Linked DNA regions of Saccharomyces cerevisiae S288C. Changing the gene in region 3 together with the main gene of any one other region gives a genetic interaction. Each region holds a gene or a part of one and is shown on either strand. Other genes may lie near its edges.

Region 1 (3,831 bases), on a different chromosome or scaffold from region 3:
CCGCCTCTGCATTATTAATGGATCTTTCTAATTCTAACCTTGCCCTGTCACGGTCCTTAACCAACTCGGCCATTTGCAAATCCTTTTGCTTCAATTTGTGTTCTAACTGTTCCTTTTTCTGAATGGATTCCTGCGCACTATTCACCTTTAACTGCAGTTTTTTAAAACGAGGTAAAAGATTTAGATGCTCTTGACGCAACTGGGAGTATAGCTTGGCTAAAGACTCATATTTTCTTTCCCAAACATCCAATTGATCCTGCAATGCAGTTAGTTGCTCGTCCTTATTAGCCAATTGTTTGGAAGCTGTAGAATCCATCGTTGTGATTTCACTTTCCAGCTGCTGCACTCTTTGGTCATATTGCTGCAATAAAGCCTGGTCCTTTTCATATTGATTGGTGAGGGCAATTAAATCGTTTTGATGTTGGTTTTGTTGTTGAAGCTGCATATTCATCATATCCTGTTGTGCTTTTTGTAACTGCTGTTGAAACAGTTCCTGCTGTGCCTGCTGTTGTTGCAACTGTTGCACACGCTCTTGCTCGAGACGGTTTTGCTCGTTCGCAAACTGGGCTTGTTGATTGGCCCAGAAGTCCGGCTGCATTTGTGCCGTCGCCTGTGGAAAAATGGCGTTAGCTGCACCAGTGGCAGTGGGGATCATCATCCCAGTGGTGGCACCCGTCGGCATAGTTTGCAAGTAACCCGTAGGCGTCGAAGTAGTCCTTTGAGATACCGGACGTGGGGAAATAGCCGGCTCAGCAACAACAGGTGGTGTTGGTGTTGGAGTCCGTGCCGGCGTCCGCGCTGGAGTTACAGAGGGCTCTCTTTTTTTGAACTTAATCTCTTTTGACTCGTCCACATCGTTGATTAAAAATACGTCTGGAGCGTCCACGGGTAGTTTTGGAATGGTTACTAACGTGGTCAAGTACTTCACAGAAGAGCAGTCCGCGTAAAACTCAAACAGCCTTGCATGTTGCAACTCGTACCGTTCTTTCAAGGGCTGCAGAGCAGCGTCACCCTCCGCATCATTCAATTGCCTGTGCATAGCTCTCAGCATCGAGGTGATGAATTTATAAATACCATATGACTCCGCAATCAACGGGATCAGCGCCGAAATTTTGCACTCAGTATTTCTCCTCTCGGACTGAATCGACGCAAAGATGATCTGCGAGAACTCGTCAAGAGAATCCTGTAACGACATCAAATCTAAGATCGTCTCGTACCCTTCGTCCGGGTCGGAAACTGAAACCAGTGACACATACTCCTCGTACTCAAACGTCCCGTTGTTAAACCCTCTATGGTGCGCATGAAAGTCCAGCTTCAAAACCAGGTACCGCACATACTCCCGAATCAGTTTGCTGTACGACGAACCGCCAGAATGTACCCTACCCAGAGATCTGATCCAGTCCCTATCCCGGATGGCCTCAGCTAGCGCTGACGGATGTCCCTCTTGTATGATCTTATGCAGTACAATAAGCATCTTGAACAGTTGCACTTCGTCATTGGCCAGAGGCAGCGTCTTAAGGGTTGTAAAAACAGCTTTGGAAGACTGATGGTCCCATGTGTACACTATGCATGCGCGTACGTGCTTTCTCTTAGGTGCGGTCTCCTCAACGGAACACGCCTTTTTAAGCGCTTTCTGCAGATCTGAATCTATTCTGGACATCCTGTTCTAGCTGCTAGTACTATCACTACTACTGCTATGGCTGTATTACTAATATTTCTATTGTTTCACTATTCTTTATATATATTTATATATGTATATTTTCCAGCAAAACACCCTTTTTGGCATTCTCCTATAGGACGTCAAACGGCGCGCGACCGCGTCATTTTATACGAGCAGCCGCTGCGTCGTCGTACAAAACGCACCGACCTACATTACAATAAAAAGTACCCGTAAAAGGATCATGTGTACATGGTTCCAGTCTTTTGGTTCGGTACTATAACTACTGTAAACGACCCTCTCACTGCAGTTTATGATATGTGATCGCGTTAAAAATGGGTATTATCACCAATAACGGGTCGGGTAACAGATTTTTTCGATGCGCCGGCAAAAAATTTTAGTTTTTTTTTTTTTCATCACAGGGATAAAAGCAAACTGCAAAAGGACAAAACAAGAGAAGAGCTACTTGTTGTTTTCGTTTCGTGCTGGGGGTTTTCTCCTTTCTATTCTTTTTCAAAAAAGACAAGGAATATATTAATATAGCTGAAGCAAATCGTATGTCCATTGAGAATCTGAAATCATTTGATCCTTTCGCCGACACAGGAGACGACGAAACCGCCACTTCAAACTATATTCATATTCGTATCCAACAGAGAAATGGTAGAAAAACTTTAACTACGGTGCAAGGTGTCCCAGAGGAATATGATTTAAAGAGAATTCTTAAGGTCCTAAAGAAGGACTTTGCATGTAATGGTAACATTGTCAAGGATCCAGAAATGGGGGAGATTATTCAGTTGCAGGGTGACCAAAGAGCAAAGGTTTGCGAATTTATGATCTCCCAACTGGGATTGCAAAAGAAGAACATTAAAATTCATGGGTTTTAAGTTCAAGGCTTACGCCGAGTCGCTTACTCGCTGCTCGCTTTCTTTCTTAGTGTTGTTATCCTATATAAAACGTAACTGTTTAGTTATTTAAGTCCAAGTGCATATTTACACTATAATATATAATATAACATCTCATCTTTTTTTATTTCTTTTTCTTCTTCTCCCGCCGCGGGCTTACATACAGAGATATAAGAACAAGTGGTACGTAGCATGCAGCTTCTCAAAAGAGATGAGCGTTCAGTTTTGAGTACAGGGAAGAAAGGCCAAATCGAGAGTACATTATCATGGGGTCGGGCGATTTGAATCTGTTGAAATCATGGAATCCCAAGCTTATGAAAAATAGAAAAAAAGTATGGGAGACCGAACAGGATCTAATTACCGAACAGCAGAAGCTTAACACGCGATTGAAAGAAATTGAAAAAGAACGAGAACTAAATGAACTGCTGAACGAATCGAGCAAGGATAAGCCGGAGACTCTCAAGAATGACTTGGCTTTGAAGAAGTCGGGCTTGGAATGGATGTATCAGGATGCAAAACTGAGTGACGAAAAGGAAGACTATTTATTAGGTAAGAAAAAACTAGATTCATCTATACTAAACCAACCTGCAACACCGCCTGTAAGGGCGGCCACTACTATTTCCGCTTCTGGTGCCGCAACATCCATAAGTTCGCAGAAGAAGAAGTCAAAATTGCTTAAAGATGATCCAATGAGTAAGTTTAAGGTAACTAAACAACAAAGAAGAACTCCAGACTCAACAAAAAAAAGAGCAATGTCGCAACGAGGGAAACCGTTGTCCAAGCCCGCTCCGGACCTAGACTACTAAACTTTCCTTTTCTTAGAGCTTGGTTCCTCGTCGGATAGTGGCAAGTCCACCTCACCGAGACTGCCATCGTCATCCTCGCTGTCGCCATCTGCGCTTAACCCGGATTCTCCTTCTTCGTCTTCCAAGTCCCTCTGGGCCTCAGCATAGTACTTCACACAAAAAGGGTAGATCTCTTCACTGAACAATGACGCCAATGAGTCGCCGTGCGGGAACTCCTTCCCGGGTTTTAGGCCGGTCCATCTGAACCAGCCAAATATGGTTTTCATTCCCTGTCTGTACTTTTTTTTACCCTCTGGACTGCGTTTGTCTTTGATCAAGTCCGGGTTTATCGAGTCGTAACTCTGGGGCCACTCAATTGGAACGGGCTCACTAGTCAGTATCCCGTCTTCTTGGTCATCTTTGCCTTTTTTGATTTGGAACACCTTGGTGACTTGCTGCTCTTTGAAGTCTCCCTCAATTCCATGGA
Region 2 (3,600 bases), on a different chromosome or scaffold from region 3:
GGAGAGACAAAACACATTATATCAATGAAAACGTACAAAAAGTAGATAAAGTCAGTGCTTAAACACGTCTTTTCCTTAAAAATACTTTATTATTTTTATTTTATTGAGAGGGTGGTTTAAAAATAGAAATAGAGAGAGAGGTACATACATAAACATACGCGCACAAAAGCAGAGATTAGAAACACTTGTGGTGAACGATAGATGGACCACTTTCGTCGTATTCTTGTTTTGAGATCCACATTTGTTGGAAGGTAGTCAAAGAAGCCAAGATAGAACCACCAATCCAGACGGAGTACTTTCTTTCTGGAGGAGCAATGATCTTGACCTTCATGGAAGATGGAGCCAAAGCGGTGATTTCCTTTTGCATTCTTTCGGCAATACCTGGGAACATGGTGGTACCACCGGACATAACGATGTTACCGTATAATTCCTTACGGACATCGACATCACACTTCATGATGGAGTTGTAAGTAGTTTGGTCAATACCGGCAGATTCCAAACCCAAAACAGAAGGATGGAACAAAGCTTCTGGGGCTCTGAATCTTTCGTTACCAATAGTGATGACTTGACCATCTGGAAGTTCGTAGGATTTTTCAATTGAAGAAGATTGAGCAGCGGTTTGCATTTCTTGTTCGAAGTCCAAGGCGACGTAACATAGTTTTTCCTTGATGTCACGGACAATTTCTCTTTCAGCAGTGGTGGAGAAAGAGTAACCACGTTCACTCAAGATCTTCATCAAGTAGTCAGTCAAATCTCTACCGGCCAAATCGATTCTCAAAATGGCGTGAGGTAGAGAGAAACCAGCGTAAATTGGAACGACGTGAGTAACACCATCACCGGAATCCAAAACAATACCAGTAGTTCTACCGGAAGAGTACAAGGACAAAACGGCTTGGATGGAAACGTAGAAGGCTGGAACGTTGAAAGTTTCAAACATAATTTGAGTCATCTTTTCTCTGTTTGATTTAGGGTTCATTGGAGCTTCAGTCAAAAGAACAGGGTGTTCTTCTGGGGCAACTCTCAATTCGTTGTAGAAGGTATGATGCCAGATCTTTTCCATATCGTCCCAGTTGGTGACAATACCGTGTTCAATTGGGTAACGTAAAGTCAAGATACCTCTCTTGGATTGAGCTTCATCACCAACGTAGGAGTCTTTTTGACCCATACCGACCATGATACCTTGGTGTCTTGGTCTACCGACGATAGATGGGAAGACAGCACGAGGAGCGTCGTCACCGGCAAAACCGGCTTTACACATACCAGAACCGTTATCAATAACCAAAGCAGCAACCTCTAAACATATAATATAGCAACAAAAAGAATGAAGCAATCGATGTTAGTACATGAGACTTAGTAACAGTAGCAAATAAAAGAAGAATATCACTATCACTTATCACGAAAATATTTCAGTTTTTTTTTTTTTTCCAAATTTCAAGCCCCTATTTATTCCAATAATATCGTGGTTATTACAGATCAGTCAATATAGGAGGTTATGGGAGAGTGAAAAATAGTAAAAAAAGGTAAAAGAGAAATCTCTCGAGCAATTGGGACCGTGCAATTCTTCTTACAGTTAAATGGGATGGTGCAAGCGCTAGAACATACCAGAATCCATTGTTAATTCAGTAAATTTTCGATCTTGGGAAGAAAAAAGCAGTAAGCGTGAAAAATCTAAAAGCTGATGTAGTAGAAGATCCTATTCTTTAACAAAGATTGACCTTTTCTTTTTCTTCTTGGTTTGAGTAGAAAGGGGAAGGAAGAATACAAGAGAGAGGAAAAAAAGGAAGATAAAAAGAGAGCGTGATATAAATGAATATATATTAAACAAGAGAGATTGGGAAGGAAAGGATCAAACAAACCCAAAAATATTTCAAAAAGGAGAGAGAGAGGCGAGTTTGGTTTCAAAACGGTTTATTTATTTATGCAAGAGGACGTGGAAGAAAAAGAAGAAGGAAGAAAAAAATTTGAAAGAAAAAAACGCGTGGCGGGTAAAGAAGAAAATGGAAAATAGAGGCCGGGTGACAGAGAAATATTGAGGGTTAATTGGAAAATATGTTAGGGTGAGGCATATGTTTTTAAGGGTTTTGAGGATCCGATAAGGAAGAATGTAGGTTAAATGTTGTGCATTAATTGCTGTGGCAGCTTACCCGCTTCCCCACACATTTTGGTAGTATCTGTCCTCTTGTTATTGTTACTGTAATTGTGTATATATGTTCTCGCGTGTGTCTTATTTACTTATTTAGTTATTATATTATATGGGTCTGCAAGGTAGAGGCGCGCTTGTTCAACAGCAGCCCCCACCGGTGTTGGTTAAACTCTGTCCCTTCAGGTTGACGTTCCCTTTGTCTTCCTTCTTCTGAGTGGTTTCGTTCAGGTTTTGTTGGGACATACTTTCCTTGATTTGTCTAGCCATGGTTAAAAACGCATCCTCGACGTTGGTGGAGTCCAAAGCACTAGTCTCTAAGAACGGCATCTTATTCGCGTCCGCAAATTCCTTTGCCACGTCATATTCCACGACACGCTTGTCCTTTAAATCACACTTGTTACCTACCAATAGCTTCAACACTGTTGAGGTTGCATACCGATCAATCTCTTGCAGCCACATCTTCACGCCGTTGAAGGATTCTTGGTCAGTGACATCATACACGATAATGATCCCATGCGAACCACGGTAGTAAGATGAAGTGATAGTACGGAAACGTTCTTGACCTGCAGTGTCCCAAATCTGTAGCTTTACAGTCTTGCCGTCCAGTTCTACAGTCTTAATCTTGAAGTCCACTCCAATTGTGGAGATGTAGTCGTTGGTATATGTGTCGTCCGAAAACCTCAAAAGTAAACAGGACTTCCCGACACCGGAATTCCCGATCAACAGCAGTTTGAACAGGTAATCGTACTCGCTATTCATATTAGTGCTTTTCTTGTTTTATTTATTTCAACCTGGGCCTAACAGTAAAGATATCCTCCTCAAAACTGGTGCACTTAATCGCTGAATTTGTTCTGGCTTCTCTTCTTTTTCTTTATTCCCCCCATGGGCCAAAAAAAATAGTACTATCAGGAATTTGGCGCCGGGTCACGATATACGTGTACAGTGACCTAGGCGACGCCACAAGGAAAAAGGAAAAAAACAGAAAAAACAACAAAAACTAAAACAAACACGAAAACTTTAATAGATCTAAGTGAAGTAGTGGTGAGGCAATTGGAGTGACATAGCAGCTACTACAACTACAAAAGCAAAATCTCCACAAAGTAATATAATGAGAGAAATCATTCATATCTCGACAGGTCAGTGTGGTAACCAAATTGGTGCTGCATTCTGGGAAACTATCTGTGGTGAGCACGGTTTGGATTTCAATGGGACATATCACGGCCATGACGATATCCAGAAGGAGAGACTGAACGTGTACTTCAACGAGGCATCTTCTGGGAAGTGGGTTCCAAGATCTATTAACGTCGATCTAGAACCTGGGACGATTGACGCAGTACGCAATTCTGCCATCGGGAATTTGTTTAGACCTGACAATTATATCTTTGGGCAAAGTTCTGCGGGCAACGTGTGGGCCAAGGGTCACTACACAGAAGGTGCTGAGCTTGTAGACAGCGTCA
Region 3 (3,831 bases):
TCATGCATTTCTTAATCTTAACGTTCCATTGTAGCTTAAAACTGGTCTCTAACAAATCTATACATAGACTAGAAGTAAATCCGAAATAGTGAGCATAAGGAAAGCACCATGTACCATACACTTCTGGTAAACACCTGATGCGATTCTAAAACAGCATTATGGTTGTAGTAAGTATCAGATCTGTATGCGATGCAGGAGTGCAATAAGTTTGTTTCAGTGTTGTTTTATGTTCGAGGTTTTGACAACGCCGTACGGGCACACCGTCTGTTGAAAAATAATACTGTAGAGGAGTCATATAAACGCTTGAAACAAAGAAGGACAAGGCAAAATAATTTGTTCATTTTACTGAAAGGGAAGGCTCGTGAAAGTATCTATACAAAAGCTTTAACGTCTCTGTAAGTATTTTTTTACGTAAGAATAATATAATAGCATGACGCTGACGTGTGATTCTAGTTGCCCAAAGACACATAATTGCTGGGGAAGAGACCTTTTGAGCCGTCTTTCTCTAGTTCCCCTAGCCACCAGTCATCGTCGACAAATTCAATATTGATAATCTTGTCATTTTCCACAAAGGTCAGTTCGTTATCTTCTGCAGCATCGTAATCATATTCTGCTGTGGCCCAAGGATTTTCCTTTGGCTTTTTCTCTGGAGTTGCTCGTCTTGGAGGCGGAGGAGGAGCTGCAGAGCTTCTTGATGGCAGCTGTGGAGCGGCTTCCTCAGCTTCTTCTTCAATTTCTTCTTCAGGTGCTTGTTCAGGTGCTTCTTCTTGTTTTGGAGCTGGGATCGAGTTTCTAGAAGGTAAGCTTGGGGCGATCTCTTCTTGTTCAGGCTCTTCTTTTTGCACTGGTGCTCCTGACGCAACATTCCTCGAAGGCAAAGGAGGTTGAGCAGCCTCGTCTTCATCATCATCCCAGTCATCATCATTCTCTTCTGGTTCTTCCTCATTATCCGCTTCAATGTGCATACCGGGTAATGGGTTGCCGATCTTCTTGTAATCAGTCTTAGGCTGCTCGGCTTCTTCAGCTTTCACAGGTTCTTGTGGCTTGGAGAAGGGTTTTGGTGAGATAATAGTTGGTTCTGATTTCTTTGGAGGAGGAGCAAATTTGTTTTCCATTTCTTCCTCCTCTTTTTCTGAAGCGGCCAATCCTTCAAATTTTGATTTCAAATCTTTGACGTCAGGTTCACCTTCAGGCTCATCTTCTGGAACTTCAGGTTTTGGTGCCTCAGCCTTAGTTTCGGCGTTGCCGCTGTTTTGCTTTGCCTTTCTTTCGGCCCATAATTGAGCAGGTGATTTCTCGTTTCTAAAACCCTTAATGACTTTATCATCATCATTCTTTAATGAAGATTCCGTCATGGAGGGGGGTTTAGTGGTGCCCAAAAAGGAGTTAAACTCGGAGTCCCTCTTTAATTTTGATTCGTTCTTTAAATTAGCGATATCAGAACTAGGATCAATCTTGGAACCAGCAGCGGTTGGCTTTTGAACAAGACGTGGGTCCTCCTTAGCCTTTTCTTCAGCAATCACTTTTTGCAAGTCGATTTTGCCAATTGGTTTGTAAGATGATTGATTTGGTTTCAGGGGAGCCTGATCGAAGTCGCGTTCCTTTAATTCAGGCTCATTCCAATCGTCGTCGTCATTGTTGTCGTTAACACGGGAAGAAATCTTAGCAGCAGGTGCTGGGGAAGGAGTCTTGACTGGTTCCTTCTTAGAAACTGGAGCAGGGCTCTTGGAAGGTGTGAAGGATTTCTTCACGGGAGGAGTGGAAGCCTTCCCCTGTTGCTTGGAGGAAGTCTGAATAGAATAACGGGCACCGGCCGCGTTACTGATTTTCATCAACAGTTCATTTTCGTCAAGATCGTCCTCGTCTCTGGCGGTAACTTGAACGTGGTAACCCTTGAACAGATTATTAGCAACTGCAGCAAAATTGGCGGCGAAAGAGGCCCTTGTCTTCAATGGCGCAGAATCAGGACACCAACCAATGATAATAATCTTCTCAACGTCTGACCCTGGTGGGGACACACGTGCCAGTCCGTACTGGACCTTGGTTTCATCAAACAATTGCAAGAAATCGTGAAAGGAGGAACCGGTAGACTCAGGTTCGTATTCTTTTTTCGCATTGGGTGAAATAATCAACCAGGTGGTGTCAGGATCGGAGCCTCTGACAATCTTCAGGTACTCTGCGTCGATCTCTCTCGAGTGAGTAGTATAATCAATAGGTTCCAAAGCCATTGTGATTGATAGGTGTGTGCGTGTATATACGTGCGGTTATGCGATTGTTTGTTTATAGATTGAACTATCCAATATGGTATACTCCTATTATATCCTTTTTTTCTACTTTAATCGAGGTTTTCCGCATTGTGAAAAAACAAGTGGAAATAAGAGACACAAGGCCACGTGACGCACATTTATACAGAAATACATCAATGGTTGCATAGTAAAGCGAAAACAAGAGTTCCTCGAGGGCGTATGATGCTTGAAAACGATTAAAATCCTATGGAAAAGGAATGCCTTTTCCCTCCATTGCTGACGGGATATTGTGAACTATTGACTGTCTCATTTAACTTCCTAAAATAAGTGCTCTCATGGACAGAGATATCAAAGTAACGTCTAAATATTAGCTTTGTGACTACTACATTGATGCAGATGAGTGGACTAGCAGCATCTCATAATAAATAAATCAAAAATAAAGGTTCATTCTCTTTTGGTTGCTTTTTGCCTTGACGGGAAAAAGTGAAAAAAAATTGAAAATTTTTAACTTGCGATGAGCTCTAAGAGTATTCTGTATACAACAGCAAACGGTCTCAGTCAAGAAATATTTGTTATTACAGGATGGTTACGTTCAACTGTGAGGTGTGTAATGATACTGTGCCCAAGAAGAATACCGAAAAGCATTATTATAGATGTCCTAACGCGTACTATACATGCATAGATTGCTCCAAGACGTTTGAAGATGGCGTGAGTTACAAGAATCACACGTCTTGCATCAGCGAGGACGAGAAGTACCAGAAAGCGTTGTACAAGGGCAACAAGAAGCAGAAGCAGAAGCAGCAGCAGAAGCAGCAGCAGAAGCAGCACCAGCACCAGCCAGTGGCAACTCCTGCAAAGAAAGTGGAGAAGCCTGTGATCAAGAAGGCAGAGAAAGTGGAAAAGACCTCGAACGGTATCGAGCTTCACAAGGGCAAGTCGTTGTACAAAATTTTGAAAACCATGAAGGATAAAGGGGCAAAAAAGACCTTCTTGAAAAGTCTGGTTGTGGATTCTGAGGGGCAAATCAGGTATGCAAAGGAATAATCGGAATTTTATGTGTAGATATATAGACATTATGTAGCAGCTTACTCGGTTTCATCTTTTTTCTCTCTTTTCTTATTCAGGCTTTTAGCGATTTTGTTATAGAATTGGTTTAGCGACGAGAGGGGGAAACTCAACGTTTCGAAGAGGTATTCCGGTAGTTTCGACTGTAGCGAGTATAGTTCCTCGGTGGATCGCTGTTTAAGAACGGGCGCATATATGACTTCTGTGACTTGGGCCTGGCCCTTGACAAATCCGAGTTTATAGTCCATTATCGAATAATCATCGGAAGATCCCCCTGAGTGGGTGCCCTGCGAGATGTCGAACCACAACCCAGAATCATCCTCGTAGCTTTTATGTACACGTACGTTACAGAGGTACTCGTAAAGGTCCTTTATGACTTCTGAATTTTCTGCCTGTTGGGAAGTCTGAGTCTTCAGCTCCTTGACTTGTGCGTTTAGCGAGTCTATCTGCTTCTGCAGCTGTTTGATCTCGGTTGCTTTTGTATCCAGCTTCTCCGACAGTACGAAATTCTCATTTACCA

What was found.
Region 1: mutations in ABP1 (region 3) and SLA2 are lethal when combined (synthetic lethality), as found in Saccharomyces cerevisiae (4 studies listed by BioGRID, with this or other methods).
Region 2: mutations in ABP1 (region 3) and ACT1 together harm fitness more than expected from each alone (negative genetic interaction), as found in Saccharomyces cerevisiae (3 studies listed by BioGRID, with this or other methods).

Annotation. Positions count from the first base shown.
Region 1 is NC_001146.8:185,880-189,710, reverse strand, and holds the start of SLA2 (Sla2p), read right to left. Parts: upstream 1,661-3,831; coding exon 1-1,660. Other genes in the region: SUI1 (translation initiation factor eIF1), read left to right, coding at 2,215-2,541; U2-type spliceosomal complex subunit CWC25, read left to right, coding at 2,826-3,365; VPS75 (Vps75p), read right to left, coding at 3,362-3,831. UniProt on the Saccharomyces cerevisiae protein: Required for cellular morphogenesis and polarization of the cortical cytoskeleton. It might act in concert with proteins such as CDC42 and CDC43 to limit the region of cortical patch formation to the cortex of the bud.
Region 2 is NC_001138.5:53,085-56,684, forward strand, and holds ACT1 (actin), read right to left. Parts: upstream 1,613-3,600; coding exon 1,603-1,612; intron 1,294-1,602; coding exon 176-1,293; downstream 1-175. Other genes in the region: Rab family GTPase YPT1, read right to left, coding at 2,282-2,902; TUB2 (beta-tubulin), read left to right, coding at 3,252-3,600. UniProt on the Saccharomyces cerevisiae protein: Actins are highly conserved proteins that are involved in various types of cell motility and are ubiquitously expressed in all eukaryotic cells.
Region 3 is NC_001135.5:263,465-267,295, reverse strand, and holds ABP1 (Abp1p), read right to left. Parts: upstream 2,229-3,831; coding exon 450-2,228; downstream 1-449. Other genes in the region: YCR087C-A (uncharacterized protein), read left to right, coding at 2,829-3,290; CSM1 (Csm1p), read right to left, coding at 3,332-3,831. UniProt on the Saccharomyces cerevisiae protein: Regulates ARP2/3 complex-mediated actin assembly. Recruits ARP2/3 complex to sides of preexisting actin filaments, which may promote nucleation or stabilization of filament branches. Binds to actin filaments, but not actin monomers.